Tamandua tetradactyla: one gene and its partners. The protein of the gene in region 4 interacts with the protein of the main gene of each other region in a pairwise test. Links are inferred from orthologs where the notes say so. Each region holds a gene or a part of one and is shown on either strand. Other genes may lie near its edges.

Evidence for each region.
Region 1: the proteins of ATPAF2 (region 4) and PKP4 interact in binary tests that used the Homo sapiens proteins (3 or more experiments, as listed by UniProt). The two-hybrid records come from large-scale screens. The link is inferred for Tamandua tetradactyla from reciprocal best matches to the Homo sapiens genes ATPAF2 and PKP4.
Region 2: the proteins of ATPAF2 (region 4) and RAD54B interact in a two-hybrid assay, tested with the Homo sapiens proteins (2 studies listed by BioGRID). The two-hybrid records come from large-scale screens. The link is inferred for Tamandua tetradactyla from reciprocal best matches to the Homo sapiens genes ATPAF2 and RAD54B.
Region 3: the proteins of ATPAF2 (region 4) and SORBS2 interact in binary tests that used the Homo sapiens proteins (3 or more experiments, as listed by UniProt). The two-hybrid records come from large-scale screens. The link is inferred for Tamandua tetradactyla from reciprocal best matches to the Homo sapiens genes ATPAF2 and SORBS2.

Annotation. Positions count from the first base shown.
Region 1 is NC_135329.1:128,877,230-128,884,798, reverse strand, and holds the start of PKP4 (plakophilin-4), read right to left. Parts: upstream 3,009-7,569; 5' UTR 2,980-3,008; coding exon 2,889-2,979; intron 1-2,888. UniProt on the Homo sapiens protein: Plays a role as a regulator of Rho activity during cytokinesis. May play a role in junctional plaques.
Region 2 is NC_135332.1:137,865,619-137,872,789, reverse strand, and holds the start of RAD54B (DNA repair and recombination protein RAD54B), read left to right. Parts: upstream 1-4,161; 5' UTR 4,162-4,270; intron 4,271-7,171. UniProt on the Homo sapiens protein: Involved in DNA repair and mitotic recombination. May play an active role in recombination processes in concert with other members of the RAD52 epistasis group.
Region 3 is NC_135352.1:26,657,337-26,665,181, forward strand, and holds the start of SORBS2 (sorbin and SH3 domain-containing protein 2), read left to right. Parts: upstream 1-4,841; 5' UTR 4,842-5,177; intron 5,178-7,845. UniProt on the Homo sapiens protein: Adapter protein that plays a role in the assembling of signaling complexes, being a link between ABL kinases and actin cytoskeleton. Can form complex with ABL1 and CBL, thus promoting ubiquitination and degradation of ABL1.
Region 4 is NC_135332.1:1,682,855-1,690,677, reverse strand, and holds the start of ATPAF2 (ATP synthase mitochondrial F1 complex assembly factor 2), read left to right. Parts: upstream 1-4,805; 5' UTR 4,806-4,976; coding exon 4,977-5,109; intron 5,110-7,823. Other genes in the region: GID4 (glucose-induced degradation protein 4 homolog), read right to left, coding at 4,084-4,272. UniProt on the Homo sapiens protein: Plays a role in the assembly of the F1 component of the mitochondrial ATP synthase (ATPase).

The DNA of each region.
Region 1 (7,569 bases), on a different chromosome or scaffold from region 4:
AGAAAAACAATTTAGGCCAATGACAAACTGAATGTCTACAGATAACTCAATTGAAAAGCATCTCCTAAATAATATGTAACATCCCCAAATTAATAATGCTAACATAGCCCCAAAAGATTTCGATACTTTCGCTCAACTATTAAATTAACGAATTGAGAAAAATCTGAAAGTTGTGTAACCTTTTACCTGAGACCAGCAAGCACCTGGATAGCTGTTCTCTCTGTGACTTGGGGCCTGATATTCTCACCCTGAAAGAACACTGTCATTTCTAACCACTGGCATCTAAAAGATCTGCCAACTGCTATCATCACTTACTGACAGCATTCCAAGCCCTAGATGCAAGTATCCTTAAAGTTTTACTTCCTTTTCTCTATTTGCAGCTATGTGTAGCCACAGTTTGGCCTCGAGACCATTATTTAATACTCCAAATATTTCTAGTCCACTGGTGTTACGTTTTACGTCCTTGCAGGAAGGGTACTACAAAACTGTTTAACACAGTGAAGGTATAATTATCTCCCAATGTACCTGAAGGCGTGAAGGCAACTTCCTAAAGTGGCAAAAAATTCCATGGATATTTGTGCTCTGAAATAACCCCACAATAATCTCACTTTCTCTTCCAATTAAGACTGAAAATAAAGTATTCATTTCAGAATTAAACAAGGTAGGGTCTTACAGCTTGACCAAAATAGGAAAAAAAAAAAACCATTATATTATAGAGTTTCTTAATATTTCTAACATTCAGGTAAGGGACTGGACTTACCTGATGGTTGGCATCATCCAGGGTAGGAACACTCCCTATTTAAGTCGATCTCTGGTCAACAATATGGAAATTACTCAGTTTAAAAATTAGCAATAATTTGATTTTAAAAATCAATTTAAGTGAGTTTTCAAAATTTTAAATTAAACTACTTTTTCAATTTATATAGCTCAGAAAAGAAAATTACAATTCTGATTTAATATAAGACTTAATCCAAATACTTAAGGCCATACAATTGCTAAAGTTTTAGTAAACTAAGTTTAGTAGTTTCTTTAAATTTAAATTATGCTAGAGCCATTCACAGAATTTAGTTTTGTTTATTCAGCATATAAATGCAGCAATAATGTACATGATTTGCTTTACTGATGGTATATAAGCTGCTGTTAGTTTCTTCTTCCCCTCTCTTATGCTTTCCATCACAACCTCTTCTTCCTTATTTCAATCTAAAAACAGTATAGGTAAAAATTAAGATAACTGGATATAGGTTTCCCCACTTTATAATCATTAGTATAACATTTATGACACCAAATGCAGCACACTCTCCTTTTATAAAGTCGGGGCAGAGTGGGGATGGAATGTACTTTGGTCAAAATATAGTTTATACTATTTTCAATTGTGAAGGATAATCAGATTAAAAACTTCCTCTCTTCAAATATCTGTAACAAACAAAATAAAATGACCCTAACCTATAAAAATAGGCCTGCAACTTTTGTGTGCTATATTTCTAACCAAAAGGTTTCTGAAGCAGGTAAAACTATGTGTGCAACCAATCATGTATATACAATATCCATATAAATAAATGGTTATTTCAATTTTTAATGCAGCAGAGAAACTAAATTTGCTTTTACTTTCTAATCTTCACATCCAGTTAAATAAGCATGTGTTAGACTCTACTGTAATATGATACTGTTGCATAATAAAAGTTTCCTATTGGCATTTACAAAATCTCCCAATATCTCCACAGTGTTATTGGACACAAATTAAGCTTCTAAATTAGAAAAGTCCACTGATGAAGGATATACCTAGACAACAATGCAGCAATCAAAATACACAATTTTTCCTCTAGCAGAAAAATTTTTTCCTCTATTTTTCTTTCTCTTGGATCTTTTACTAAAAGACTCTCATCTCTTCAATGCCTGTGATTCACACAAAGTAGATGTCGGAAAACAGCTGACTTGATGGACAACCGACTTATTTTCCTGAATCTGATACAAAATAACCATGTGCAGAAGGTCTTAGAGTATACTTAATTTTCAAAGCAAACTGTGTCAGATAAAAGCACACAAAGTATGCTTCTCCAACATCTTATAATATTTATTGTGGCCATATGTTCTCATTGTCCTGTTGTCATTATCCACAACTATTTGTCAGGCACCAAAAATGAAGATATTTCTTTAACAACATAACTACACTAAAAAAGAGAAACACTTCTACTTTTCTTTTTAAAATGCAAGAATATAAGTCCAATTCTTAAGAAACATCATCTGCCAAAACTCTGCTTTTCTTTATTAAGGAAAATAAAATTTGACCAAAAATAGATATTAATCATAATCGATTTTACACATAAGTGAATTACCATTCCTTTAAAGTTGTAGGGCTGCATTTATTTTTGCAGCCAAACTCAGTATCAAAAAGAGAAAGAGCTGCAACCCCACTAATAAATTACATCTTGAAATGGACGTGGTTGTGGTGTCCCTGAGTTACTTCTAATGGTAATTGACACGCCCTGAATTTAACTGTACCAGACAGTTCTATCTGTCCCATCGCTGACCAAACACTGCTTCTCTGTTTCTATTCATTATGTATTATATGAGGTCTAACCACAGTCCAGTATGACAAGTAAAAAAGAAAATTACAATTCCTATGACAGCAAAGTGATGCATACAAGATCTCTGTTGCAGTACACCCCCGTTCACGAGCACTAACTGATATTCTTTGATAGAGCTGAAACATGTTGGCTACATGCAACCTCATCACTCCAGGAACCTTCGGCCCCTCGTTCCTGCAGGTTTTCAGAAAAACCTCCTAAAAACGAGGCACTATCGAAACCTTGTAAACCAAACTTAGAAAAAAGCCTTGTGCAATGATCAATAACCTTGGCTACATCACCATCAGACGCAAATCCACGGACCTGGAGACCAATGCAGCAAAGACCCAGTCGAAAGGCCAGTGGTGCCCAGCAGATCTGCCGCGCTTCCCCCGCGCCGCCCTCTCTGCCGCATGGAACGAGGCAAAAGGAGGAGAGGAACTGAGCGAGCCTCACCAGCTCCGAAGATGCTCCGGTGACCTCTGGCAGCGTGACTAGAGCTGGGCCGGGAAGGCACTAGAGAAGCCGCGGCAGGCCGAGAGGACTCTGCCCCTGGTGCATTCCTTGCATTCCTGCACAATGTGTCGCCAGCCGAGGAGTCCGCGGCCTCATTCCCCTACCCCACCCCCCCCGGACACACACACCTGCCTACTGCTGCGCCCCGCGGCTGCCGCGGCGCCTCCAGCGCCCGCGCTCGCTGTTTGTCGCACTCCGCCAACACGCAGCCAAATCCCGGCCCCGCTGCCCGCCCCCTGGCTCCCCGAGTAGGGGGGAAAGGCAGAGGGCGGGCCGCCAGAGCGGTGGGTAGGGACACCCGATCCACCAGAGGGGTGCCGCAGCTCTGCTCTAACTCTTGGCAAGGAGAGGGGGAAGCGGCGGCGCAGAAGAGCAGCCGGGGAGACTCAGGGCTGAGGAACCAGGAGGGGTGGAGCGTGAGGACGCGCGGCAGGAGAGTGGGGCTTAGTGGACAGAGGGGGTGGTGGGGTGGTGGATAGGAGTGCCGGACAAGGGGCAAACCCGAGGCCGTGCAGGCAGCAGGGGCGTGGGAGGATGTGGAGGGGGCCAGGTTGCGGTATACAGGATAAGAGGGATCAAGAGACGGCCCCTGAGCTGAGGAAGGAAGGCGCCCCGGGGTGCCGGGGGCGCGGGGTGGCGAGCCAGGAGGGCGGGAGCGGGGAAGCTGCCGAATTACAGGTCCGGGAGAGAGCCGGCACCGCGACCAAGTTCGGAGGTAGGGACTCTGGAACCTAAAAGGCCAACGTGGGGAAGGGTCGTGCGCGGTATGCAGGGAGAGCCGGGGAGAGTAATCGCGGAGAAAAGCAAATGGAGGGTGAAACTTGTGCGCTCGCCGGGGGGAGGGGAGTAGGCAGGCGAGTGCGGGCAGGAACACGAGGCGGGGCAGGAAAGCCGAGGCGGCCGGGAGGCGGTGGGGATGGAGTAACGGGAGGGAAGCGCCGTCCCCCTCCGCGCCCTGGGAGGCAGGTCCCGGCTCCGGCTTGAGGGGGCGAGGACCCGGACTCTCGAGGGCAGGAGTCTCCGCGCCCGCCCGCGAGCCCGCACACTTACTTTCCAGGTTAAGCAGCGGCCGTCGTCGCTCCGGGGGTCAGAGACATAAGCGCGGAGTGGTCGCCGCTGCGGCACCCGAAAAAATTACAAAAGTGCAGTGGCCGCGCGGGTGCCCGCCCCTCCCTCCCCCACCCGCCCCCTGCCCCGGAGAGGCTCTCCCACCACCCCCGGCGGCGGCGGTGGCCAACTTGCCCCTCTACCCAGTGCCCATGGTGCCGTCTCCGCGGCCGGCGTCGACACGGACTCAGCCCCGGAGCCCCCTCTACTGCCCAGAGGCCGCCGCCGCCGTCGCCCGCCCAGCCACCAGCCCGCCTGCCCAGCCGGCCCCGGGCTCCCGGGAACGTCAGCACGCTGCCGTCTCCGGACAGGCTCCCCGCCAGCCCTATTGGTCGGGAGAAGAAGACTGGCCCTCCCATTGGCCCGGCCCTCATATTGAACAGGCCAATGGGAGCTGCGGTTTCAGGTTGCCATAGAGACCGATGCTGTTAAGAGCAAGAGGGCCTGGAGAAGGTGGAGTGAGGTGAAGGTGTCTCAGGCAAGGGAAGGGGTGAGGTAAAGTAGTGGAGGGGAATTCCGGGCAAAGGCTCAGAAATCTGGCTAGGTAATGCTTTGCCTCCCTGTCACCCTCTACCGTGCATGGTAGGGTTTGTCCCGGACGTCAAAGGCAGGCACTGGGAACCGCTATACGTATCCTTGAGGCTGAGAGCCCAGAAGCGGGCATTTCACTTCTCTTGGGCCTTGGTAGACCCTGAGGTTATACTCTTTGACCTTTGACTCTTGTGCAGCTTCTGCTTCTCCAGGTGAGTTTGCACCTCATCCCTTAAATTGATGCTTCCTTCTGATATCAGTGATCTACCTGAATTCCACTTATTCCCGACCACGCCCCCTTCCCTGGGGGAGAATCTTGCTTCCAAATTTTGGGTCTTCAAACTTATAGAATATCTAAAGGACACTCAAAAGAGGATTTACTTTGGACACCATTTTGATAAGGAAACAGGGTGGCTCCTGAAATTGTGTGTTGGTGCCAAAGGGTGAGCACACCTTTTCTGGTTTCCCCAAACACAAACCTTTAATTTTCTCACTGAAAGATTGTTAAACACCCAGCTGTGTGTGCATTCTGCATCATGAGCTTGGCAGGTGCATGTTTTTTCCCCTAAGAGGTTACAGGTTGGGAAAAGACAGATGACACAGTCAATTCTTCCTGCCTTCTGACTATTTTACAAAAAGAAAAAAAAATAGATTATGGTTATATGGATTTTGTTTTGTGGATTTTTTCAGTTTATCTCTAAATTTGATTTTTCTTAAATGACCCGAGGCATTGAATCAGAAATTTTGAGACTTCATACCAAGTCCTTTACTTCCTTCATTTAAAGTTACTGTGCTAATTTTTCAATATCATTTTTAAAAATAATGTTCATAATTAGATACCACCTATTAAAATGGGACTTCATGACTTTATTAGGCTTTTTTAAGCAATATATTGCTCCAGCATATAGCTACAGATATTCTTAGGTTCCTTCTTTTGGTGATTTTGCCATTTTTATATTAATCTCTTTAGTAACAAGACTATGCTTATGTTAGTTTCTGTCCTGTTGGAAGGACCACACTCTGTAAAAAACTGACAGGCTTTTGTAAATAAGAAACATTTTATTGAGAGAAAAAGATTAATGTATGTGTAAGTTAGACATCAGTTACATATTTTAACTACTGTCCTGAATTTTGAACCAGGGGATATTATTTGCTACTGTTTCTATCTTACTGTAATTTAAGACTACAAAAATATAATCCAAGATAAAGTGTGTTAATACAGTACCTTGTCTGAGGAAAACAACTCTCCACAATTTGTAGTTGAATCTGAATTTAGCAATTCTGTACAAGGTTGAACCAAGGAATAAATCAGTTGAACATGTGAATGTTCTCCCGCCCTTTTCAAGAATTGGGAAGGGATCAGCAGGGGCCAGGAAGTATTGTCTCATGCCATGCCATCATGGAAATTAACTCATGCTTTTGTTTCTTCTGTCTTTCTCTCTCTCTCTCTCTCTCTCTCTCTCTCTCTCTCTCTCTCTCTCTCTCTCTCTCTGTGTTTAGAGAATAGAAAAAATAAAATGCAGTTTTTTATAAATAAGATACATTTTAATGTACTGACAGAATAGCAATGATTTGGGTTTTAATAACACTAAGTAAATGGAAAATGTGTCTAATACAAAGAGAAAATGGGTATTTATTTTTCTCTTCCCTTAGGCTAACAAGCAGAAAATAGTTGATTAATTTTTTTACTTACATCATCTTTTCTGTTTGTCTTTATCTAAGATCACAGGTTTGTTGAGTATTTTGATACTGTGTACTTCATATTTTAAATGATTAAAATGTTAATAAAATCCACCATGAATAATGTTGCCTGAAATTAAGTTGTCACTCAACATTTTTTTTGTAATTGTTACATTCCATTGAATGGTTTCTTTTCAACTTGCTCCTGTACTACCAAGCATTGCTGGAAAAAGTTACAAAATCATTTAGTTCTTCTAAAGGTTCAGACTGTCTAGTCTTGGCTGGGTCCTCACTGACTCCCCAAATCCCTTCCATAATCAAGTAGGGTGATTTGCTAGCACATGATCTGGAATACTTTTACCAAACCTGTCCTGTTTCTGCTCTTCTCAAGTCCCTTCTGCACTCAGCCTTCTTCCAGTGATCCTTCTCATACTTGACTGAGATTATTCCAGGCATCCACCCTGAAGTTCCTCAACTTCAACTTTCCTAAACCTCAGTCTTAATTTTCACGTTGTCACCTCTGACTGCCTTGAAGGATACAAGGGGATTTCATGAGGCTTCTACTGTTCCACATCCCATGTAATTTTCACACTTGAATACAGCTGAAATTATTCTGAACAGTGTGCTCTTTCTCCTCGAAATCCTAGCTCATTTTGTCAATCAAGTTTTCTTCTACGAAAATGCCTTTTACTTGCAAGTTACAATGCCCAAATTTCAGTCTTCCAGTGAAGAGTGGGAAACCCTTGTCTCCCATCTTGAATATCTATAAAAATGCAAATGACCTTCTTAAAAAGAGGAGGCATTTGTCCTAATAGCCACAACACCTTGGTAGGCCTGGTGGCTGGGAATTAGGAGTGTATAGAGAATCCTCTAAGATCAGGCTGACTGTGGGGTGGGGCTCTAGCAACATTATAAAGACTGAAGAGGTTTGGTGTATACTCTGTCCTCAAGAACAAAAGTAAATAGCAGAAATGTAACTGAATTTTCAATTACCATCTTAAAATTCAACCTGAACCCTTATAGGATTATGAAAACTATCATTTTCCAATGTTTATTTTCATACTAGCCCATAATGTTTAGTAAGTTATGTAAATTTAGTGAATTCCTTTAAATGAATGGCACAAGCAGCCATTAAAGGTGAAGCAGGAACACTGTCCTCTCTTTCTTGGGT
Region 2 (7,171 bases), about 140 Mb from region 4:
TGCTGGCGTCTAGGCATTTAATTCCCTTAATTAGTTTATTCTGGAGATTGCTTTCACTTCTTTTACCTAGGGTTTTCTTGCTGGATGAATTTGTTGTCTGTCTGTTCTTTGACATTCAGTTCAGCTTTTTCTGGACCTCTAGCTTAGGTTTTTAACAGAGGAGATATTTTCAGTTCTTGCTTTCTTGTTTCTTGCCCTGCTTGTATGGTGCCTTCCCCCACCCCCCTCTTAGGAGGGTCTATGTAGGTATTACAGACCCCAGCTGGATTTTCCCAGACCAAACTGGCCTCCTATCAGGAGAAAAGAGTCACCTGCATCCGTTTTCCCTGAGGGTGAGCCCCAGCAGGTTGAAAGGCTTTCCTGTGAAGTCTCTGGACTCTGTTTTTCTTATCCTGCCAGTATGTGGCACTTGTCTGCCTGCAGGTCCCACCAGCATAAGATGATGCGGTACCTTTAACTTTGGCAGACTTTCCGTGCTGGGGGTGTGGTGGAGACAGAAGACAGGTTGTAGGCTGCTTTTAATGGCTTCAAATTACCAAGCCCTGGTGTCTGAATTCCTTGAGGGAGGGATTCCACCTGAGTTGGGCTTCACCCCTCCCCTGGGGAAGGCACGGGCTCCAGATGAGCCCTCAAACGAGCTTGTTTCTGCCTATGCCTGGGACAGTTGCAGCCTGAGAATCCCTTTGGAGAAACACAGCCAGATAAAGCTCTGTTTCTTTTTTTTTTTTTTTCCTGTCAGCCCTGCCCCCTTGGCGCCCAGGCAAAAATGAGTGTCCTCTGCTTTGACCAGGTTCACCTGAGCTGAGGGCCTTTTTTTAGTAGTCAGAATTTGTTAATTCCATAATTGGCATTTGGTTGGGCTCAGTCCCTGCTGCTGGTAAAGTCTCTTTCCTTTTCCCCTCTGGGAAGCTGCCTGTTGGGGAGTGGCACCAGCCGCCGCGGCTTGGGGAACTCATGGTTCTGGGGGGGCTCGCAGCCAGTCCAGCTGGTCCAGACTGGGGTACGCTGTGTGTCCAGTCACTGACGTGGCCCTAGGAGCTCTTCTGTACTGTTCCTGGTTATTTAGTAGTTTTCTGGAGGATGAACTAAAATGCGCACATTGCTAAGCCACCATCTTGGCCTGTAAGTCTATTTTATGTTTCTTCTTGGCTGTCACTAGTCTGAATGTTATATTCTCCTATCCCCTTTAGCTTCAGCTTCTTTGTGGTCTCAGATTCTACCTTTGGAGTCAGACTGCCTGGTTTTGACTCTCTGCTGCACCTTTATGAACTCTGTGACTATGGGCAAGTGACAGAATCTCTACGTTGCTACTTCTGCAGCAGTAAAATGGGAAGAAGAATAATACCTCTCACATATACTGTTGAAAGAATTAAGTAAATATGTGACACGTTTGGTTTATAGTATTTGATAAATGGGTGTCATTGTACCTGATGCCAGCATTTTTTCTCTTATACCATCACTGAGACTTTGCCAGTAAATTTATATGATCATGTCACAAATATTTTGTCTCCCATAATATATACAGGATATCCTGTGGCAGGTTCGTGACAATTACTGTTTAAGGGACTATGCCAACCAGTCAACTGAACTGACCAATGAACACTGGAAAAAACCAACCAATTTCTGGACTAAAAGGACCTATACCCCTATACAGTACAGTGAATGTGATAAAGACCCACATCACCCCAGACCCAGCAAGACCTGTTCCAGCATTCCAGGTTGCAGCTGGCTTTGGTCTGGGGCTACCAGCGAGGACTCTTCCTCTTCATTCTCCCCTGGGGGGACTTTGCCCCTGCTGCCACTGGATCAAGGCTCATCCAAACTCCCAGGTGGGGACAGTGGTCACAAAGCAGCTGCAGTTGTCCCCAGCTCTCTCACCTGCCTGTGGGAGTCATCCCTGACCACTGTGAGTCCAGAAGGAGCATCTAGTTTCAAAGTGTGGTCTCTGCACCAGTAGTGGCAGCATCCCCAGCAGTATCCCCAGGGGCTTATTAGATATGGAAATTATAAGCAGCATTGAGACCTACTGAATCTGGAAATTGCTGGGGAGCTCAGTAATCTGTGTTTGAACAAGTCCTCTAGGGGATTCTAATGTTTGCTAGTCCCGGACATGAAAAAACCTGGGTGCTAGTCTGTCTCTTCTACTGGGCAGAAAGGAGCCCAATTGATTTTCACACCACTACTTATTCAACATATATCTGTTTGTTGCTTGCTAATGGACTGGTACTGTAAGAGGCACATAGGTACAGCAGGGGACAAAATCAAGGCCCTGAGCTCATGGAGCTTACTTTCTGAGAGGAGTAGAAAGGTAACAGACCCATAACTGTGTATTAAGGAGTGGAAAGTGATAAAGAAAGTTAAAACAGGGTAAAAGATAGAGCATGAAACAAGAGAAGGGGTGGTAGGATAAAGCCCTGTAGGTATCTGGATAAAATGAGAGAGGCAAGTTTGGAGCAAATCTGAAAGAGGAAACTCCCAGAACGCCTTAAGGAAAATCTAGGACTTTAGATTTTCTGGCCTTCTAGGCTGCAGAGCTATGAGGGCTGACGTATTTTCTGGTCACCCTTACTCCTGTGACCCAGCACAAAGGAGGGTATGGTGTGGTCTCCAAGGATGCCCACTTTGGCAGGCCTCCGATTCCAACTCTTGTATGCCTAGACCCTGGGTAAAAGCTTTTTAAGCACATTTTTCCTTTTACTTGACACTGTCAAATTGCTCTTTCTAATAACTGTACCTATTTACATTCCTACAACCTGGGTACGAGTTCTCATTGCTTCACATCTTCATCAACCCTTGATATTTTGAGTTTTTAGTTTTGTCAAACTGAGGCAGGTTAGACAGGGAAGAAAGGAGGAAGTGACCCTAAATCCCTTAACAAAAAATTCCTTTTGGCGCACATACCCAGGCCCTCCCCCCACCCTCATCCCCTCCCCCCCACCCCCCATCCCCCAGTCAGGTCAGCAACTGAAAATAACCAATGAAAAGTGCAGCGCATCAATCCCTTATTAGCATAGCCAGAGGGTAAAGGGCCCCTGCAAGTCTTTGTAATGCAAGGATCCCGAACTCAGACTGCTTTTCCTTTGGAGAATTCCCACACTCATCTAGCTTCTACCTTCACTATACATTAAAGTTTTGAGGTGTACACACTGGCTAGTCTTTGGATTCTTTCATTGTACACAATGACCGGTCCTTGAGTTCTTTCCTACAGCTGAGTTTCCTGTGGCCAAGTCAAGAAACTTCATGGCGTCAGTTCCTGGTCCGGGTCTAGACTTCTCTGAGAAATGTCGCAACTCTCTGGCATCAAGCAGAGAATTCCTGGAGCTCTATGTCATCTAGCCTAGAACTCCTGGGGTTCTCTGGCGTTGAGCTATTAAGCTATTTGGCTGTACACACTGACAAGTCCTTAAATTCTTTCCTGTGATTGAGTCAAGAACCCTCATGGTGCCCGCCCTTGGTTGAAGTCTCCATTTTTCCAAGAACTCTGTGTGTGTGTGTGTGTGTGGGGGGGGGGTTCCCATTCAAAACAGTTGGATAAAATGTAAGGAATGACCATCTAACTGCTCTCACTCCCTTCGATATTGCCTCTCTAACTCCACATTTCTCACAGCTGACAGAATGTGCCATTACCTGCCACTTGAGGGGTGCTCAGTAAATTATCATGGAATGAAGTCACTTCCCTGCTTAAAATCCTTTAATACCTTCCCAAGTCTTGAGGAGGAACGCCATTTTTGATATTACAATAATCACTTACTCATCTTTATATCCCTAGAATCTAATACAGGATTTGGAAAGTATCTTGCAGGCGGCACTAAATCGACATTTTCTTAAAAAAAATTAATGAATAAACTACACGGGGTAGTTTACTCTGCGATGCACGCCTTTCATTAGTTTACTTCACACACGGAATTATAATGTATCAAACATATGTCCACATACACGTACATTGTGCAGTCTGTAGCCTCAGCATCCATATCAGTGCGTGGCACACAGCAGGAACCAAATACATACTTTCTAGAATCGATTCAGAACTAAATTCTACTCGGCAGCGGCTTAAGAGAAGCGCAAAGACACAGGCGCAGTGACGCGATGAAGCGACCCAATCTTCTCGCCCAACCAGACGCTGCCGCGGAGAGGCAGTGCGCAGGCGCAGCAGTCTCGTCACGATTGGCTGCGTCGAGGCGGGAGCCTTGAGTTCCTCAGGTGGGGAGGGGTTCGCTGCCTACCCGCGGCTGGAGTACGCTGGACTCCGGGTTGTGTTGATTTCTCGCGGGTGAGTCTCTGGATGGGAGGCTGCGACAGCCTGTGAGCTTCTTCGGGTTCTGTGCGTGGAGAGGTGCCGCTCAGCCCCCCCCCCCCCCAAAGCAGGCAGACAGGAGGCAGGATTCGGGCTAGGCTGTCTCTGCTGCCGGGTCTGGAGCGGCCGCGACCTGAAATGTGAAGGCCTTGCCCGCGGCCGACTGGGGGAATGGAAGAGCGGTTTGTGGTGGGGAGGCCGCCGAGAGAGGACGTTCCGGGTTGTGGTGCTCTGTCCACTGGTGCTTGCTTGCTCTGGGGTGCAGGCGCGCAGGGCGTGTGGGTTTTTTCTCCCAGGAATAACCTGTGCCCTCCTGTACTGTGAAACTAGTTCCTCAGGGCCTGGACGTGAAGGCTCTGAGTGCCCTGGATGGTAATAAGTCATGCAAACGATGCATAAGATTTAGCAGCTTCTCTAGGGGCTTCTACCGCTTCACTGGTCAGCGCTTTTTAATGATTAAAAAAAAAATTGTTTATTTTATGGAGGATTTTGTAAGCTACACCAGGACTGCACAAAGGACCAACTTAGCCTTCAAGTAAAATAACTACTATCTAACGTAGTTGCAAGGTGAAAAACAGAAACAAGACATCTGTTGCTGGTTCTTAATGGTGTTTTATTTGCATTCTTTCATCTTACAGGAGAGATTGTTGCACCCTTCCCCTTCAGAGCCTAAACAAAGCTCTAGTTTCTGGTTATGATCCTCTTTGTTGAAGTACATCCTTTACTATACCCCCTTCACAGACCTCCACCACCTCTACTAATAGGACCTTAGTATTAAACACCTAATAATAATAATAATAGATAGTGATATTACAGATATCAATGAGTGTGTGTCAGGCTCTTTTCTAAGTGTTTTACATAGGTCGTTTGATCCAACAATCCTATGAGTAAGTATGATTATTGTACTGCCTTTTGAAGACGAGGAAACAGGCACAAAGAGGTTAATGAAATCGTTCAAGATATTGCTAGGAAGCATTAGTCCAAATTTATATTTAGGTAATAGCCTCCAAAGTGTTGCTTTTAATTACTCCACTTTAATGTCAAGAACTTCATACTTTCTGATGTGTTGTAACTATTAGCGTGCTGCCATATTCCTTGGAAGCACAGAAGCTGGTAGATGTTGGTCTATTGCTGTCAAAGTAGGGCTGCCACATGCCCTTTATTTCCAGAGCCTGGGAAAAGAGCCCAAATAGCAAGAAGGGTGCTGAAGTATTTAAGGGGAAATGTACATATGTCTACAGTTTACTTTGAAATGTGTTGGCAAATAGATTGATGGATGCCAAAGATCATATAGCTAGTAAGTGACAAAGCTAGAATTCAAGCCCAGGCATGCTGGCTCCAGAGTCTGTTTTCTTAATGACCGCTCGCATTTGTCTACATTCTCAAATACATTATTTATTATTATTGTTTAAATTTTTTTTATTGTATAATATACAAAGCAAAAAAAGAAAAATCAATAGTTTTCAAAGCACTCTTTCAACAAGTAGTTACAGGACAGATCCTAGAGTTTGTCATCGGCTACCATATGATCTGCTCAGATTTTCCCTTCTAGCTGCTCCAGAATCTAGGAGGCTAGAAGACATAAATATTTTTTTATCATCACAATTGACTTTTTTTTTCTTTTTTGTGAAAAATAACATATATATAAAAATGCAATAAATTTCGAAGCACAGTGCAGTTGGTTGTAGGACATATTTCAGAGTTTGGTATAGGTTACGATTCCACAATTTTAGGTTTTTACTTTTAGCTGCTGCAAGATACTGGAGACTAAAAGAGATATCAGTTTAATGATTCAACAATCATGTTCATTTGTTAAATCCTATCTTTTCTATCTAACTCCACCATCACCTTTGATCTTTCTTGTTTGAGCTATGGCCATTCTAAATTTTTCATGTTGTAAGGGTCTGTCACTAATATGGAGATGGAATTATCTATGTTCTGGAGAGGCTGGGCCCTCTAGGTTTCAGGACGTATCTAGTCCAGGGACCCATCTGGAGGTCATAGGTTTCTGGAAAGTTATACTAGTGCATGGAACCCTTGTGGAATCTACATATTGCCCTAGGTGTTCTGTAGGATTGACTGGAATGGTCCTGGTTGGGGTGGCAAGTTATAATAGGTAGCAATGTCTAACTGAAGCTTGTGTAAGAGCAACCTCCAGAGTAGCCTCTTGACTCTATCAAATACATTATTTTAAAACTAGTTTGTGCTCTCAAATTAATTATTTTTAAATAGACACTCAAATGCCTACATTCTCGTATGCCTACATCCTCAAATATATTATTTTTAAAACTAGTTTATAGGATACATTTATCTTGTAGAATGTGTACAGGGTAGAAAAAATAGAAATCATGTATTGGGTGTAGAAGGGTTTAGGATGCTGATTTGATGTTGAAAGAAATCTTAGCCACCTACTCGTTCTCTTTACCAGTGAGGGAATTGGGGTCCTGAGACTAAATAGCTTGCCCAAAGTTAAGCACCCTTTAAGTAGCAGAATCAGAATTAGACTTAGGTTTCCTTTATTTCTACAGTGGACTTTTCTAGCTACTCTTATTTGTCTAGAATTTTAGTATCCTAGCTACCAAAACAAATAGCATATAATGGGGTGGCTTAACAACAGCAATTTTTTGGATCATGGTTTCTGAGTCTTAGAAGGCTTGATTCCTCCTGGGGTTAATATCTTCTGGCCTCTTAGCAGTCTTGTGGTTCCTTGGCTTTTTTATCATATGACAATGATCATAGAGGCATTTTCTCCTCTCTCTTCCGAGTTTTGCTGATTCTAGCTTTGGGCTGCTCCCTATGAATTCTCTTTCTGTGGCCTTCCCCATAAGGCCACCAGTAATAGGATTAAGGCCCATTCTGATTTACTTATGTGTAGGT
Region 3 (7,845 bases), on a different chromosome or scaffold from region 4:
AATGGAAAATAACAGAAGGTCTCTTGCCTTGACAATACAGGACGTCCATGAGCCAACCACCTTGTTATTTGGATCAAGAAGATCTTCTCGTGTGATGAAAATACCAGAGGGTTAAGGTCTTTTTTAACCATATTTTAATTAGACCAATGCTTAGCTCAAAACAGTTTCAGTTGTTGTTGTGTACAACTGAAGAAGAGAAGTGTACAACTAAACTGGCTTTCAACATTTCCATCCATCTTTTCCTTCTTCATCTCTGTCTGAAGGATCATCCCTGCTCTAGATGGTTCTTATGGAAAGCTTAAGAAACTCAGGAAATTTAGGACGAAGTTAACATGGTGGCTGGTCTCACCGTTAACTTGGACCAGACTCTGTCTGATTCCTTGGAACCTGTGTCTCTGCTCAGATAATTTACCTAACGTTCTGGATCCTCTGGTGCCAAGACTATGCTCTGCTTTAGCCAACCTTCCCTGAAACTCCAGACCTGGAGCAGCTGGGGACCTACTGGCAGACCTCAAACGACCTTTAGTGTCTGCTACCACGCACGTCCTGCTGGCTACAATGCCCATTCATCGCCCCTTGCGGGTTTCCACCATCTCCACCGCCGGCACCTGTCCTGCCCTCCCAGCACCTGACAAACCCCAAGCGTCTGACCCTCACTAGAAGGAGTGTGTCTGGTTTCCAGACCCTGTTTCTTCTGTATCGGTTCTGCCTCACTGCCATCAAACTGTCAGCTCTTGCTTTTATCTTAGAATCACCTGGGGAAACTTTTAAATATGCAAATGCTTGGATCTCCTCCAGATCTATTAAATCAAAATCTCCATGGGTAGGCCCAACGTACTGGTCTTTTTTGTTCTCCAGATGATTCTCTTACGTACCAGAGTTGAAAGATGCTGGTTTCCGTTTCTCCAAAATTGTCATGTGCAGACGCATAGCCTGGGAGTCTTGTTAAAATGCAGCTACTGATTCATTAGGTCCAGGTGGGGCCTCAGGATTCTGCATTTCTAACAGGACCCCAGGTGCCATTAATGTTGCTCTGTGAAACACTTAAGCCTTAAGCAACAAGGCTTAAGACTAATGGTTCTCCAAGTGTGCTCAAGCATCTCCTGGGAACTTGCTAGAAATGCACATTTTCAAGCCACTCAAGTCTCCAGACCTACTGAATCAGAAACCCAGGAGGTGGGACCCAGCAACCTGTGCTTCTACAGACCTCCAGGTCACTCCGATGTCACTAAGGTTGCAGAGTCTTTGGCTTACATAGCTGCCCAAAAGAAATGTAACGCAAACCATACACATGTATTTACATCTTCTAGTAGTGCCATTTAAAAGAAATGAGTGGTATTAAATTTTTTAACATTACTCCTCATAAAATATTTTAACTCAGAATGTCCAAAGTATTATTATTTCAACAGGTAGTTAATCTTTAAAAATTAATGTGGGGCGGTGCAATGGTGGCTCAGTGGCAAAATTCTTGCCTGCCAAGCCGGAGACCTGGGTTCGATTCCCGGAGCCTGCCCATGCAAAAAAAAAAAAAATTAATGTGATTATTCACGTTTCCTTTTCCATACTGTCTTCAAAATTCATTGTGCGTATTATTACACTTACGTGCCTCTATGTTCTGACTAGGCACATTGTTAAATGCTCAACACACAGATAGCCACGTATTGGCCAGCAGAGTTCTAGACTTACAATAGTGATAAAAATTCAAATTTATCCAGTGCTTGTATGTGGCAGGCATTACTCAGCTAGGCATTTTACATGCATGGTTTAAGCCCCACTGCAACCTTATTATTATCCCCATCTTCTATGGGGGTGGGGTTGTGCCAAAGCCATATTTCCAATCTGTCAGTAATATTAGAAACCCACTCCAATATCAGCATTTTGGGAGGATCATGTGGTAGCCCATGGTGGACTCTTGGATCTGTCCTGTGGCTGCATGTTGAGGAGTGCTTTGAAAACTGCTACTTTATAACTGCACCAAGGTTCTCGTGTGGCACACTCGGACAGAGAAGGTTAATTTAGCCAATAAGCCAAAATACCAACTGGACACAGTAAAGATTGAGGTATAAATTGAAGCAGCAACTGGTGCAGTTTGCCTGGTCAACAGATATGGAAGAGATGTGTGGAGTTTAGACTACAAAACATTCAGGTATTGCTCATTTTACTTCAGTACAACAGCCTATATTCTCATCTGATGGACATTTGTGCAAACAGCTTGTCATTTAACATAAGCTAGATGAATGGTATAAAATGTGCTTTGTCTTCATTTGTTTTGCATGTTTTCCCACAATCAAACTGGAAGATCTTTGTATAATATAGCTCAATGACAATGCAGGGTACAGTATTGCAAATCTTACATATATTTCCTGCCCTCTGCACCATTTGGCTTTGTGACTGATAGAACAGAATGGGTTTTGAAAATAGATGGCAGGTATTTTGTTAATTAAATGTTCCCAATTCCTGACCTTGAAAAAAAAAAACTGTTGCTTTTTTGTTTCTTTGCTTTCTATATATATTGTACTATACGAGAGAAAAAGTTAAAAATCAATAAATAAATGAAAATTTTAAAATATGTATATCAGCATTTCCTAATTAATTTGAATCAATTTATTTGTTTTTAATAAAAAGAATATTAACAAAATCATTACCATGAGTTACAATTATTAAGATATCAATAGCTTATAAGATAAGAAGTTACAGGAATTGGGAAAGTAGCAAGAGTCAAAATTTAGTGTCCTTTAATTTTCTAAAGTCCAACCTGCACCCTTCAGTGACATCTGTTGAAAGGGGCTTATTTACAGGCTGCCTGGACAGTCTGGGATCCTAAGGGAACAAAGGAGACCTCAGTGAGTCACCCGGCAGGAGAGGATTCCTCCTAAGTGAACACAAATGTCAGGCTTATAACCTGTCCTTGCAAGTGCAGACTTTGACAGACTATGATTTAAAAAGGTAATGTGAGGCAAATGGGCTTCCCTTTAGGAATGATGTGAGAAGCTGGCAGTTAAGAATTTAAAAATAATGGTTGACTTAGTAATCAAATAGTTAATCTTTGTTTAGTTAACTAGTTTCTTAAGGAAGGCCAAGTTTAAAGTGTGTTTCCTTCTTATTATAAATTATTCTAAGGAGGTGAAAATAAAAACAATTTTTTCTCTATCTGATGCTTGACTTTTCCAATTTTTGCCAGCAGTATTACCATTTAACATTGTGGTCAAGTAAAATAAATATCAGATTTTAAACTGGCAGGTATTTAAGAAATTAAAATGCAACTATTAAAAGCAAGTGAACAGGGCAGGCCACGGTGGCTCAGCAGGCAGAGTTGTCTCCTGCCATGCTGGAGAGCTGGGTTCGATTTCCGGTGCCTGCCCATGTTAAAAAAAAAAAAAGGAAAGAAAGGTAAATGAACAGACTATTGCATAATACTACAGTGACTTTTTAAAAAATAAGCATTTTTTTTTAGGTAAAGCAGATTTACTTTAAAATTTGATTGGGTATTTCAAAGTTACGCTATCGTTTTATATATATATATATATTTAAATAGCTGCATGGTTTTAATATAAGGTGTATTGGGTTGAAAGATTTCACTATTTTACTACAGTACTTGAAATAGTCATGTAACCCTTTTACATGTCATGTGTAATCCTCAATATTTTCTATATTCAACTCCAGTATCTTTCTGAAATTGCAAGGAAGAAAGTAGAGTCAATATGAGCATCCAGTAACTAGCCTCCATAATAATGATTATAAAATATTTCAAGGCAGTTTTTATATTGGATTTAGATTAGAGAATGTTTCACTTCCTCAGCCATGCTTTGAACTGCCTTAAACATCATCCTCTTGTTATGAGGATTAGGGAATTGAAATGATTCAGAGATTTTTATCTGCATGGAATAAATGCCTTTATCAAAAATATTAAGTGATTCTTTGGTAGGAAATAACTAATTTTCCTTCTTAGTGGTGTTCTCAAAGGCATAATGAAGTCATGGAAGGTAGGAATCGCTCTGATGACACATCGGATCTTCCTGTACAAGGGTTTGAATAGTCTCATCTTGTGAACATGAGGTTGCGAAAGTTTGTCAAAAAAAAAGGAAACCCTGTTTTTCATTTTTTATTCTTGTTGTGTTTGTGTGCTGTAAACCTCCAGAGGCAAAAAAAAAAAAGCTGTTTGCTCACTATTGTATTTTCAAAATGCCTGGCTTATAATAAGGACAGCCGTGCCCACCACATAAATATTTGCTGGATGAATGAATGAATGCATTCAACTTCTGGATCTTTATTTTTTCATTCTAAAAACAAAATTAAAGCTCAGAGTTTTCTGGCCAGAGTTGGTGACCCAATCTAAATTAGTTCTTCATTGGCCTTTGGAGGCAGACTGGAGATCAGTTCTGTCAGCATCGTGTCACAGAGTGGTCCCCAGCCTCTGCCAGCACGATAAGAAATGTCAACAGCTTAACCTAGTAGCTTTCAAAAATAGCGTAGTTGATGAAACTGGAGATTTAGCTGAGTGCTAGAAATAAACCATTTGTCTTCAGTCTTAAGAAGAACAGGCTGACAATGGCCATTCCAACCAGAGAGACTTAAAATGTTTTTAAAACCCATATAAACAAGCAAATACATATCAGAAGAAAGGTCTTCACTCTCAATAAGGTATAACTATAGCATCTTCTTTTCCATGAATCAGGTAAATCATTTTTGCAAAACTTGGCATTATGGCAAGGAGCTGTGTTTCTTTAAGATTCCGGTAAAGTTTTTTTTTCTTTTTTTCCCAATAGTGCTGGCACTTTTCCTCAAAATTTAAATGAATATTTGCACAATGAACCAAGTTGTTGTGGGTTTCCTGGTTTGTACCTCCCCGCTCCAGGGGGTTGGGGTGGGTGGAGAGGCTATTGGGCCGGCACCGCATTTTCATCCCTTCACAGACAAGTCCGGCTGCTGTTAATGCTGAAAATAGCTTAAATGCTCTCGGAACAGTAGCACCACCCAGCAGCTGGGATTCTCTCCCCCTCTTATTTGCCTTCTCTCTTGCCTTTTTTTCCCTTCAGACACTTGGATCGGACTTAATCTTAAACCTTTGGAGTTCAAGACCTTTTAAAAAGGGCTAAATAAACAATCTCTACATGTAAAAGGCCAGTGACTCCTACTTCCTCTGTTGAGAGCAACTGTTCAGCTCCAGCTGCTTGTAGGTAAGAGTTTTATGCTGGAATTCTTTCATTGGTTTATGGTATATTTGTGACACATGTTTTTAAATAACTTATTTAGGCTGAAAATAAGCCCGGGGCTGCCATCGATTTCCAGGTGAACACTGTATGCCTGAATATAGGAACAGCATCTGTGGACTTTTGTAGCTGTAACTAAACTTTGCTTAAAGTTTTTCATGATATTGACCTGCCATGCAGACGTGACTGTGACCCAGCAAAGGATCAAAACTCTAATGACACCTGAGTGCCAGGGTAGTAAGAGGGCTTTTCAGACATCGTTTTGTTGTTTAGGCTGCTTACTGATTTTTAATGTTCTAAAGGCATTTGAAAAAATAAAAACATACAACCACCTGAGTAAAGGAAATATAGGAGTGATTGTTCTCTCAGGACCAGATAGCTGTATTATATTTTGTTCTCTTTTATCGTCACTGTTGTGTGAATTGCTATTTTGGAATTAGAGCACTTTCTGTTTGGTATATGCCTAGCATAATTTAGGTGTCTCTGTTTTAAGAATTCCTTATCTAAGCTGCATTTCTTTTGCCAGTTAGGTTCGCAGGCAGGTTTCTCTAATGTGACAATATGACATTTTCCAACGTTTTCTGTGCCTCCTCTTTCCCCTTCATTACACTTGTGCTTTGACATTTTGCGAAGGACTTTGATCTGTGGACTTTAACTTCAAACACAGCATTTACTTTGATTGTGGGTATTTACTATGTTCAGTAAAAAAGTCTTTTTATTTAGTGGGGAGGAGGTTAGTGCTTTGATAGTATTTCCTTTAAATTATTTGTTGGGGTTTTGGTTTTCCTCACTGCTTACTGATACAACTTTAAGTTTTACTGATAGTTGCCCCCAGATGAAAGGGAAAATACTGTTTTATGGCAAGATGATTCTCTTGCCAAAGAGACTTTAAAACAACTCACTGCTCCACACCAAACAGATGTCTAAAAGCAGGCAGCAAATGACAGTGCACAGAATGAGATTTTATCAACCCTTCATTTGAATGTTCTGCTACCCCCAAATTACTGTGTGCCTTGAGGCCTAACTGTTGCATATTCTAACATGAACACTGAAACCCTTGGAATTCAAAGACTTTCTCTCCGAAAAAATTTGTTGGTCTCACAGACCACATGTCAAAAGAAAACATGCATTTAAAATAAACAGCGATCTCTGGGGTGACAAAAAGAAAGGAAAAGAGAGAGAAAAGAAAATTAAATTTTAAAAAAAGGACAACTAAAGAGAAAAACTCATACAACTGGTGGAACGTCTGTTGTATGAGGGTAAGGGGATGGAAAAACAAAAGTATTTCCTAAAATAGCAAAATGTAATACCATCTAGGCATTCTGTCGATGTTTAAATGTCCTCTTCATTTCAAAGAAAATTCATGTATATACTGCATTTAAGTTTTTTGCCTTTTCTTCCCTATCCCAAGCACAGAGTATTTCTAAAGCCCTCAGTCAGATACCAAGGTTGATATTCCTTGGCCAACTGTCCCTGCATGTTGAGTTGAGGGTTAGGAATAGAATGAACTTAATCCCATCAGGAGACTTTTTAAGCACTAGTCAAGGGCTGTGGCTCCCTAAAGGCTGAGACCGCCTTGCTAGGAAGGAAAGAAGCAAGTGGCAGCAGGACAATTTTCAAAAGGGCAGAGCAATGGAAAACACTTGGAGAGCTCCTCCAGATTAGGAGAAGATGCGACTTCATCTGTAAGGATTCCGATTAAGAGTAAGAAAACCTAGAGCTATTCAGGCTAATAGTTTATTCCCAACATTGGCCATTTAATTACTACTTTTTCCCCTTCAAATCCACATTAAAAGGAGCATATGAATCATCCTATTTCTGTGTGCAGTCATCATTTCATATCCTCCAGCTATTTTAAGCATGTTTCTTAATGTTCCCAAGCCTTTGGGAATCTCCAAGAGTTCCCCCGCGCCCCAACCCCACCCTACTGTAGTACTGGGAATTCCTCCTCTGGCAAGTGCTTGGGGCACATGTGTTGCTGAAAGGTAATGCAAATTCAGTTGCAGAGTCAGGTGGCACTAGGGTGGAATCGGTTTGGAAGATGGTAGATGGCCATTTCTTTCCTGTCCACTCCCACCCCCCCATTTCTTTTCATCCCTTAATTTTACCTTGAAACTTTGGATTGTTTGAATGTGAAACTCAAGGTGAAACCTAACGAAAGCCACCGGGTTTCACACAGCCTCCCTATGAAAGAAGTATTCTGCCCGCCCTTGCCCGAAACTTGGCCCGTGTTTGCCAAAAGTTTCATGAATGTCAGTGAGCCCGGATTTGAAACCTAATCCAAAGCCAGGTGACTTCTGGAGACTTTGAGACTTTATTGTATAGGCATAGAGTCTGTCCAACAAGGGCAGTCCCTTTTTGCAAGTATTCTACTGCAACTTAACGTACCCACGTTTTTTTTGGACACACTCCCACTTGTTCTATGCTACCTAAAAGCCAGTTTCAAGCCTAATATGAATGTTTATAGCCTTGGCATTTAAGCATGGGCAAATAGAAGTCTGCATTTTAAATTCCAACACAGCTGAACCACAGCAGCGTGAACATGTTGGTATAATTCAGCTGAAGGAAGGAAGTCTCAGGAGAGTGCTGGAATGTCTTTCTTTGCTTAAATATACCCCGGTGCTCGTGAAGAACA
Region 4 (7,823 bases):
TATTGACTAGCACATCTTACCCTACAACTACACAAATTCACCCCAAATAGGTAGATTTTGAGATTTCATGGCAATTAGATTAACCGACAAAGCTAAAGATCACAATACCAAGCAAACCAAAATCCAAAGGTATGTAGCAGAGATTTTTACATGAGCTGAGAACTTGTTTCCAGAAAGCTAACAAAGTTTTATGGCATTTATCAGATTTGGGATCCAACTACTTTCAATTATACCATAAATCAAATCCTTAGGCGCCCCCCCCCCCCTTTACCAACCCTGGTGAATTTAGCCAGATGACATTAGCACTGAAGCAAACCAGCTTCAATGGAGCTCAAGTGCCCCCCCAGTTTGGTGCTGGTGAAGGCGTTCCATGTGCCAAACAGTAAGCGTCCTCCTACGCTGACCTGGGCACTGGATGTCACCTGAAGCAGCTGATCTACACCAAGAACTCTATCCAAGGACGTTCAGGCAAGAACTCTATTCAAGGACGCACAGCTCCAACCCGGGGCCCTCAATTTCACGTACGCACTCCTCACTGAACTCAACCTAGTTTGGGGTTTCACGGCAGCTGGAAGGGCATCAGGTAACAAGGAGGCTTGATAATACGACAAAAAACTGAACTGTAAAGAGGCTAACATTTTGCATGGATTATCACATGCTCAAGAATCAGAATTTCAGTTTGGCCTCGATTCAACCACGCATTTCTCCCTCTCTGTCCAAAGTGACCTCGGCAATGGCCGGTAAAGTCAGACATGCCACATGCAAAGACAGGATGGCATCTCAACGGGAAAGAGAACAAGGTGAATGTTGAGCAAGCAGGTCTCGCTGCACAGCTGTGGTCAACAGCTGCTCTTTTTAATATTCCTTTCCCAGTGACCTGGGGCTACATCTACTCTCGGCTTTTTGGAAGAGCAGGAAGAGTCACAGCAATTAAAAAAAAAGACCCCCAGTTGGAAGCTCTCAAAGGTTAAGGAACTCCAACTGGAATCTCAAAAGAGAAAGTACGCCAACAAGCACTTGAAAGGACATTCGGCATGAGCATCAGGGAAATGCAGATCAAAACCACCACGAGACCTGCACCTCACATGCCTTAGGACAGCTCTAAGCAAAAAGGGAGATGATAATAAGTCGTGGCGACGACGTGGAGCAGCTGGAACCCTCGTGCACTGCAGGTGGGAATGGGAAACAGTGCAGCTACTGGGGAAAACGGCCTGGTAAGTCCTCAAGATGGTAAGCAGAGTTACCACTCGATCCAACAATTCCAAGGGAAATGAAACACATGGCCACCCAAAAGCTTCCAGACGAATGTTCACAGCAGCATGGTTTGTAATGAGCAACCCAAATGACCATTTCTGATGAAGAGACAAATACTGAGGTCCAGCCATACAACAGCTATCATTTGGCCAAGGAATCAAATACTGATGCTAAGTGAAAGAAGCCAGTCATAAAAGACCACATATTGTATAATTCTGCTTTTAAAAAATGTCCTGAATAGGCGAATCTAAAATACAAAAAGTAGATTAGTGGTAGCTGGAGTTGGGGGGTGAAAGCTAAGGGGCATAAGGCTTCCTTCAGGATGATGAAAATGTGCTAAAATTAGATTGCAGTGATGGCTGCACAACTCGGTGAAAATACTTAAAACCACTGAATTGTACACTTCAAATGGATGGATTGTATGGTATGTGGATTCTATCTCAATAAAGCTGTGAAAAGGAAGAAAAGAAGGAAGAAAGGAAGGGAAAGAAAGTGGCTGCCTTACAAAAGGCAGAAGTAGTCTAAGAAGGCTGAGTCGAAGAAACTAGTCCTGGCTGAAAAACCAGATGATGGAGCAATTCCCGTGCCGCTGATGAGTCCCTGGGGTGACCAAGCAGCCGCTGAAGCCGGATGGAGGGCGGCATTCCTTGGCATGACTGTCTCTCCGCCCCCATCAGCCACCCCACTCATGCGGCTTCTAGCACTTGGCCAGGCTTTTCCTCTGGGCTGTCCTGAGACCTATCAGCAGTGCAGAAGTTTCTCCAAACATCAGATTCTACAAACTCAGCAGCTCAGTCACACCTTCAACTTGGCTCAAGGGAAACTTGGCACTTGACGTGAGTTCAGGAATATTATACATTAACGACAGACGAGAGCAGTTCCTGCAGGCTGCCGGGCAGACCCTCCTCTGACACTTAGCTACCTACCCCACTGGTTGTCCCTACAGCACTGGAAACCATCCAATTAAAAAAGCACACAAATTCAAGCTCATCCCAAATGTGGTCCAAACAGGGATCTCACTTCCAGGATTTCATGTTTAGCTGCAAAAAGATAAAGCCCTCACCTTCACACTACATTTCACATATCAAGCGAAAGCAAAGGGGAATCACTGCATTAGACATATCATTTTGAAGAACTGAACTACCTCAGCCCAGTAGTTTCTCAATTACAATGAGATCACAGCTCACGTTAGAGCCTGGAGTTTACAGACCAAGATAGAATTAACATGAGGATGCAGTCCTCCTGGTCCAAAAAAAAGAGAAGAAAGTTACTTATTTCCATGGAACAGTGTGAAATGGAAAGTGATAAAAGAGCTACAGTTAGCAGGAAGAAAAACGTCCCCCCACTGACTTTGCTGGGAGACCTGTCTGTTCAGAAGAGAAGCGGTTTAGGATTTAAAATAAAAGAAGACTGAGGAGGGCTGCAAGGAGGGGACACGTCCTCTATTCTCTCCCTGCACACAGAAGCTGTCAGGCTTCACACGTGGACTATGAAACTCTCTGTAGGATTTCCAGGGAGGACCACTGTTTGGAGAGGCTTTGGGGGAACAGCCTAGGAGGTGGGGCGTCTGGCTAAGGAAAAAGGGGCAGAGGGAGGGAGAAAAGTGGGTTTCAAGGTAGGCAGGAGCAGGCATGGAGGAAAAATGGTTTTGTGGGGAGGAAAGATAAAAAGGGGTATTCACACCACCAACCTCCTTGGGCTGGGGAAAAATGTCATGTGTGCTACCGCTTGTGTGGGAGGGGAGAGGTGCTGGACGGGCCAGGGCAGGTGGCATTGTAGCCCCAAAGCCTGGTCCGGCCTGGCAGCAGGTACTCGAGATCCAGGTCAGGTAGGGGGAGGTGGATGGACACAGAAAGGAAATATCCATGTGAGACACAGAACTGGGTGAGTTGGATTTCCCAGCCCGCGGGTATCAGAGACTAGGAGGAAGCCCTGTGCCGGTGCAGATAAAAGTTAAGAACACAGAAAAGAGGGCTCCCTGGAGCAAGGAATGAGGAAGATGAAGGTATGGGGTGGGGAGGTCTGGGGGGAGAGCCCTGGGACACTGGAAGTAGCCAGAGCAGGGGGGGCAGGGAGTGGGCGAACCCTAGGACAGGAGGCCTGGGGGTGGGGGCAGCTGCGAGGAGCCGGGTGCTGGGAGCATGCAGAGGCTGGAACTGTGGGTGGTACCGCGGGGGACGCAAGAGGCAAGATGCTAACAGGCTGTGAGGAGCCCCACTGGGCGGCTCCCAGGGTGCGAGGGGCTGGTCTTGAGGGGAGGGGGGCACGGTCTGGGGACTCAGCTGTGGGTGGGGACTCCTGGGAGCTAACGGAATGAAGGGACTCCCAGGTAGGAGGGCTGACCACACTTTTTCGAGGGGGGGCTGCCCTGATCTTGGGGGATCCCTGGGACTGAGAAGGGGGGCCTGTTTCAAGTCTGGGAGAATCTGGCATGGGCCTAGCCTGTGGGGGGACCCCCGAGAGGGATGGGCAGGGGCTACTCCAGAGGAGACAAGTCAAGAAGAAGGAGCGGCCAGGCCGGAGTGGGGCAGTCATGGGGGGGCTCCGGATCCCGTGGGGGTCGGGTGCCGGGGAGCCAGGTCCGGCGGAAGGCTCAGGGAGTGCCGGGAGCCGGTCGCGGAAGCCCCGGGCCCGCGGGGACAGGTCGGGCCGCGGCTCGCGGAGTTTGAGGCGCCAGCGGGGCCGGTCCCGGGTGAGCTGCGGCGGGTGCAGCAGGCCCCGGCGGCCCGGCCTGGTCGGCGGCCGCGGGCTCGAGGCCCCGGGGCCCGGCTCCGGCCCGTGAACGCCGCGAGGAGGCCCTCGGGCCCGGCCAGCCGGCCCGGCGCTCACCTGCAGCACCACCTCCACGTCGTACGAGTTCCCCTTGCTCTTCTGGTGGCCGCGGAACTTGGAGCCGCTGTAGAGCAGGCTGGTGGCCACGCCAGGCTGCTGCGTGTTGATGGGCGGCGGCGGGATAAGCGAGGCCGCCGAGGCGGCCGCGGCACCGGCCGGCGGGGGGCACTCGGTGCGGACCGGCATCGCGGGGTCCCCGGGAGCCAGGGCTGGGGGGAGGGGAGAGGAACGGCCGCCGCCGCGCGGGAGCCGAGGAGCGCGGCGGGGAGGGCGGGGCGGGGCGCGCACGCGCGCGGCGGGGGCGGGTGGGGAGGGGTCACCCGCCCACTGCCTGCGGACCAACGCTCCGGCAGCCCCGGGACCCCGGGATCTGCGAGCTGGGCCTCCCCGTCCGGCGCTGGATCCCCTCCTCACTTGCCCTCGCACACACACACACATACACACAGACACACACACACACACACACACACACACACACACACACTCTCACTCACTCACACCAGTCCTTCCGATTGGTGCGGGCGCGCCGGGGGGCAGGAACAGGCTCAGCCGGCGCTCCCGCCCATTGGCGGGCGGAGGAAACACGTGGCAGGGTGCGCGAGCGGCCCTCTGGGACTTGTAGTCTTCCTGCCGAGGCGCGGCGTGGTGGGGCGGGGCCAGGCGCGTTTGTGATGCTGATTGACGGGGGGCGTGCGCCGGAGGCGCGCGGGAGCGTCGGCGCGCCGTTGGCGTCACGCGGAAGGTGACGGCGTCCCGGGGACGCTGAGGAATCCGTGGAGGCTGCGAGGGGAGTTCTCGTACGGCCCGACGGCGCGATTCGGGGATTCCTTCGCTCGGTGTTTCCTGCTCTCCGGCTTCGCGCCGCGCGTCGCCCCAGGCCCTCGGGAGCCATGTGGCGGAGCTGCCTCCGGCTGCGGGGCTGGGGGCGCCGCCTCCTGAGCGGGCCCCCGCGTGGCCTCGCGGCCTCCCTGGGGTCGGGGCCAAACCATTTGCCTCCGGCCCGGGCCTACGCGCCCCCGACAGGTGAGGCCAGGGTCCGTTCCGTTTTGGCCAGGGCCCGAGCCGGGCTAAGGTGGGCTGAGGAGTTCAGCCATGCAGGGTGGGTACCCAGGTAGGGTCCTGTGCAGACCCGGAAAGCGAAGCCCAGACTAGGGCAGAGCGGGCCGGAGGGCGCCCGGGTGTGTCAGCCCTAGACGGTCATTGCCGCTCGGCCCGGGCGTTTTTTCTCAAAGCTCACGGCTTTCGTCTCCTTAGCAGCGCAAGCTGGTGTGATCCCAGGTTTCGGACGGAGAGATTCGGGTTCTGAATCGGGACTTCACCAGGGTCACGCTGCAGACTTAGAGAGGTCGTGGAGGGCAAAGGTTGGCCTGCCTGGCCCCCCCCCCCCACACACACACACATACCGACACTTTCCCCCTCCGCCCTTGATGAGTGAGGCCTTGAAGAACGGTTTGGCCCTTTCCCTCCTGCTGGGGAGAGGTTTTTGGGTGGGAGGATCTCATTTTAGTGAATAAAGAGTAGTGACACTCTCCTTCCCTTCCCTTAGTTGCTTTATGCCGGAGGTAGGGTGTGCAGTGGTTTCAAGACAGGTGTGGTCCACCTTGAGAATGTTCATTGTCAAGTGCAGAAGATTATACTGTTCTGATTAAATAGGAAGTTATAATACAAAGAAGCTGCGACAACACAGAGACGCCCTGATTCCCATGTTGGGGGTGCTCAGGATCTAGAAAGAGTCGTGAGTAATAGGGCATTAAAGTTGGGCCTTGATGGATGAGTAGGAGTTGGGTGAAGAGGAGGAGGAAGAGTGTTAGGTAGCTAGAACACGTCCAGAGGTGACAGTGAGCCTGGTGTGAGGGACCTTGCTGTCACAACCTGCTCTCAGAAATCCAAACCACCCCAGGCAGTTTGAGGCACTGTGGCAGGAATGTAAGTCTGGTTCTAATGCTGGAGTGCTGTGTGATCTTGGGCATGTGACTGCTCTCTTTGGGGCTCATCTTCCTCTTTAAGTTAAAGGACTTAGTTTTCTCTGGACCCTTTTGGCTCCTAGGTAAAAGAATTTTATCCAAATGGGGGAGGGGATTGGATGTAGCAGGGAGTGGAGGCTTCATCCATGTATCTCATGGGCCTGGAGTGGCCCATGAGAAGCAGTAAACAGGAAGGAGGAAGGGCATCCCAGAGAGGCACAGCATGAGCAAAGGGGACACAAGCCGGAGTTTCTCAAGTTGACAAAAGCCGGGAGTTCGTGTTGGTTAGTAACTGCTCACGTTCCATCACGGTGGCAACTGATCTGCTCTCTCCTTTTCCTTTCCGCTGCAGACACAGTCGTGGAGGCTTTTGGCAGTACCTGGCGCATGGGAGGTGGTCATATGTGGAAAAAAAATTGAATGAATGAATGAGGTAGTGTGGGAGAGGGGTGCCTAGTATCAGGCCGCTGCATGCTCTGCAAAGACCTTACCGGATGGGAGAGTCTCTGCTTCTCGATGAAGGCTTCGACTGGCAAGGAGATTGAGCTTGGCCCCTGAGGACTGGGCTTGTCGCTGGAGGTTTTCCAAAGGAGAGGGGGCATTTTGGCAAGAGCCATTGAGATGTTGGAGAGGAGACCTACTTGAGGATGCTTGTGGCCTGGCAAATACCCTTGACTGCTTGGGTGGGAGGCGTTCAGGAGTGCTGAGTGCAGACGCGGTGCAGTCCAGGCTGTTTTTCACCACTTACGGCCTGGCTGTCACCTGAACAAGTCATTTAGCTGTGTCTTGGGCCTCAGAGGCAAGACCTGTTCCTGCCTTTCTCGTAGAGTGGTTGTGTGGATTGAGGGACATCCTGGAGATAAGGGGTTCAGCCCTGCAGCCTGTTTTTTTTCAATGAAGTTTTATTGAAACATAACCACCCTCATTTGTTTAGATGGTCTGTAGCCGCTTTCACCACCACAGTGGAGTTGAGTAGTTGCAGCAGATGGGATAGCCTGAAACGCCTGAAATATTTACTGTCTGGCTGTTTACAGAAACAAGTTTGCCAATCCCAGCGGTAGATGCAAGAACCATTTGGAAAATAGAGTGTGTTTAGTCATTTAGCCCATTTACATTAATTGCTGCACAAATACATGTGGCCTGAAGAATTTTTTTCTAACAGCTTTATTGTGATATAATTGATGGACCATGTAATATCCCCATTGAAAGTAGACAATTTAGTGGGTTTTAGTGTATTCACAGAATTATGCAGCCATCACCATAATTTTCGAATGTTTTCATCAACCCCCCACCCAAGAAACCCTGTATCCTTTGGATGTTGTCCCAAATCCCCCCTTTCTCCAGCCCTAGATAACTGCCAACCCTTTTTCTTTCCCTATGGATTTGCCTATTCATGACATTTCATATAAATAGAATCATACAGTATGTGTCCTTTTATAACTGATTTATTTCACTTAGCGTAAGTTTCAGCTTTTCACTTAGCATAATGTTTTCGAGGTCCATCCATGTAGCACATACTCCTTACTTTTTATGGCTAAATAATTATCTTTTGTATGTATAAACCAGATGGACACATGGATTGTTTACAACTTTTGGCTATTGTGACTAAGTCGTCTATGCACATTTGTGTATATGCTTTTGTGAGAACATGTTACAGGTATACATTTCTCTCAGGTAATATATACCTATAACCAAGATTTAAGAGTTAACAAATGACTGTGGTTACTGAATCGTTATATAGATGCTTTCTTATTTTCTAATATATTGTAGAAC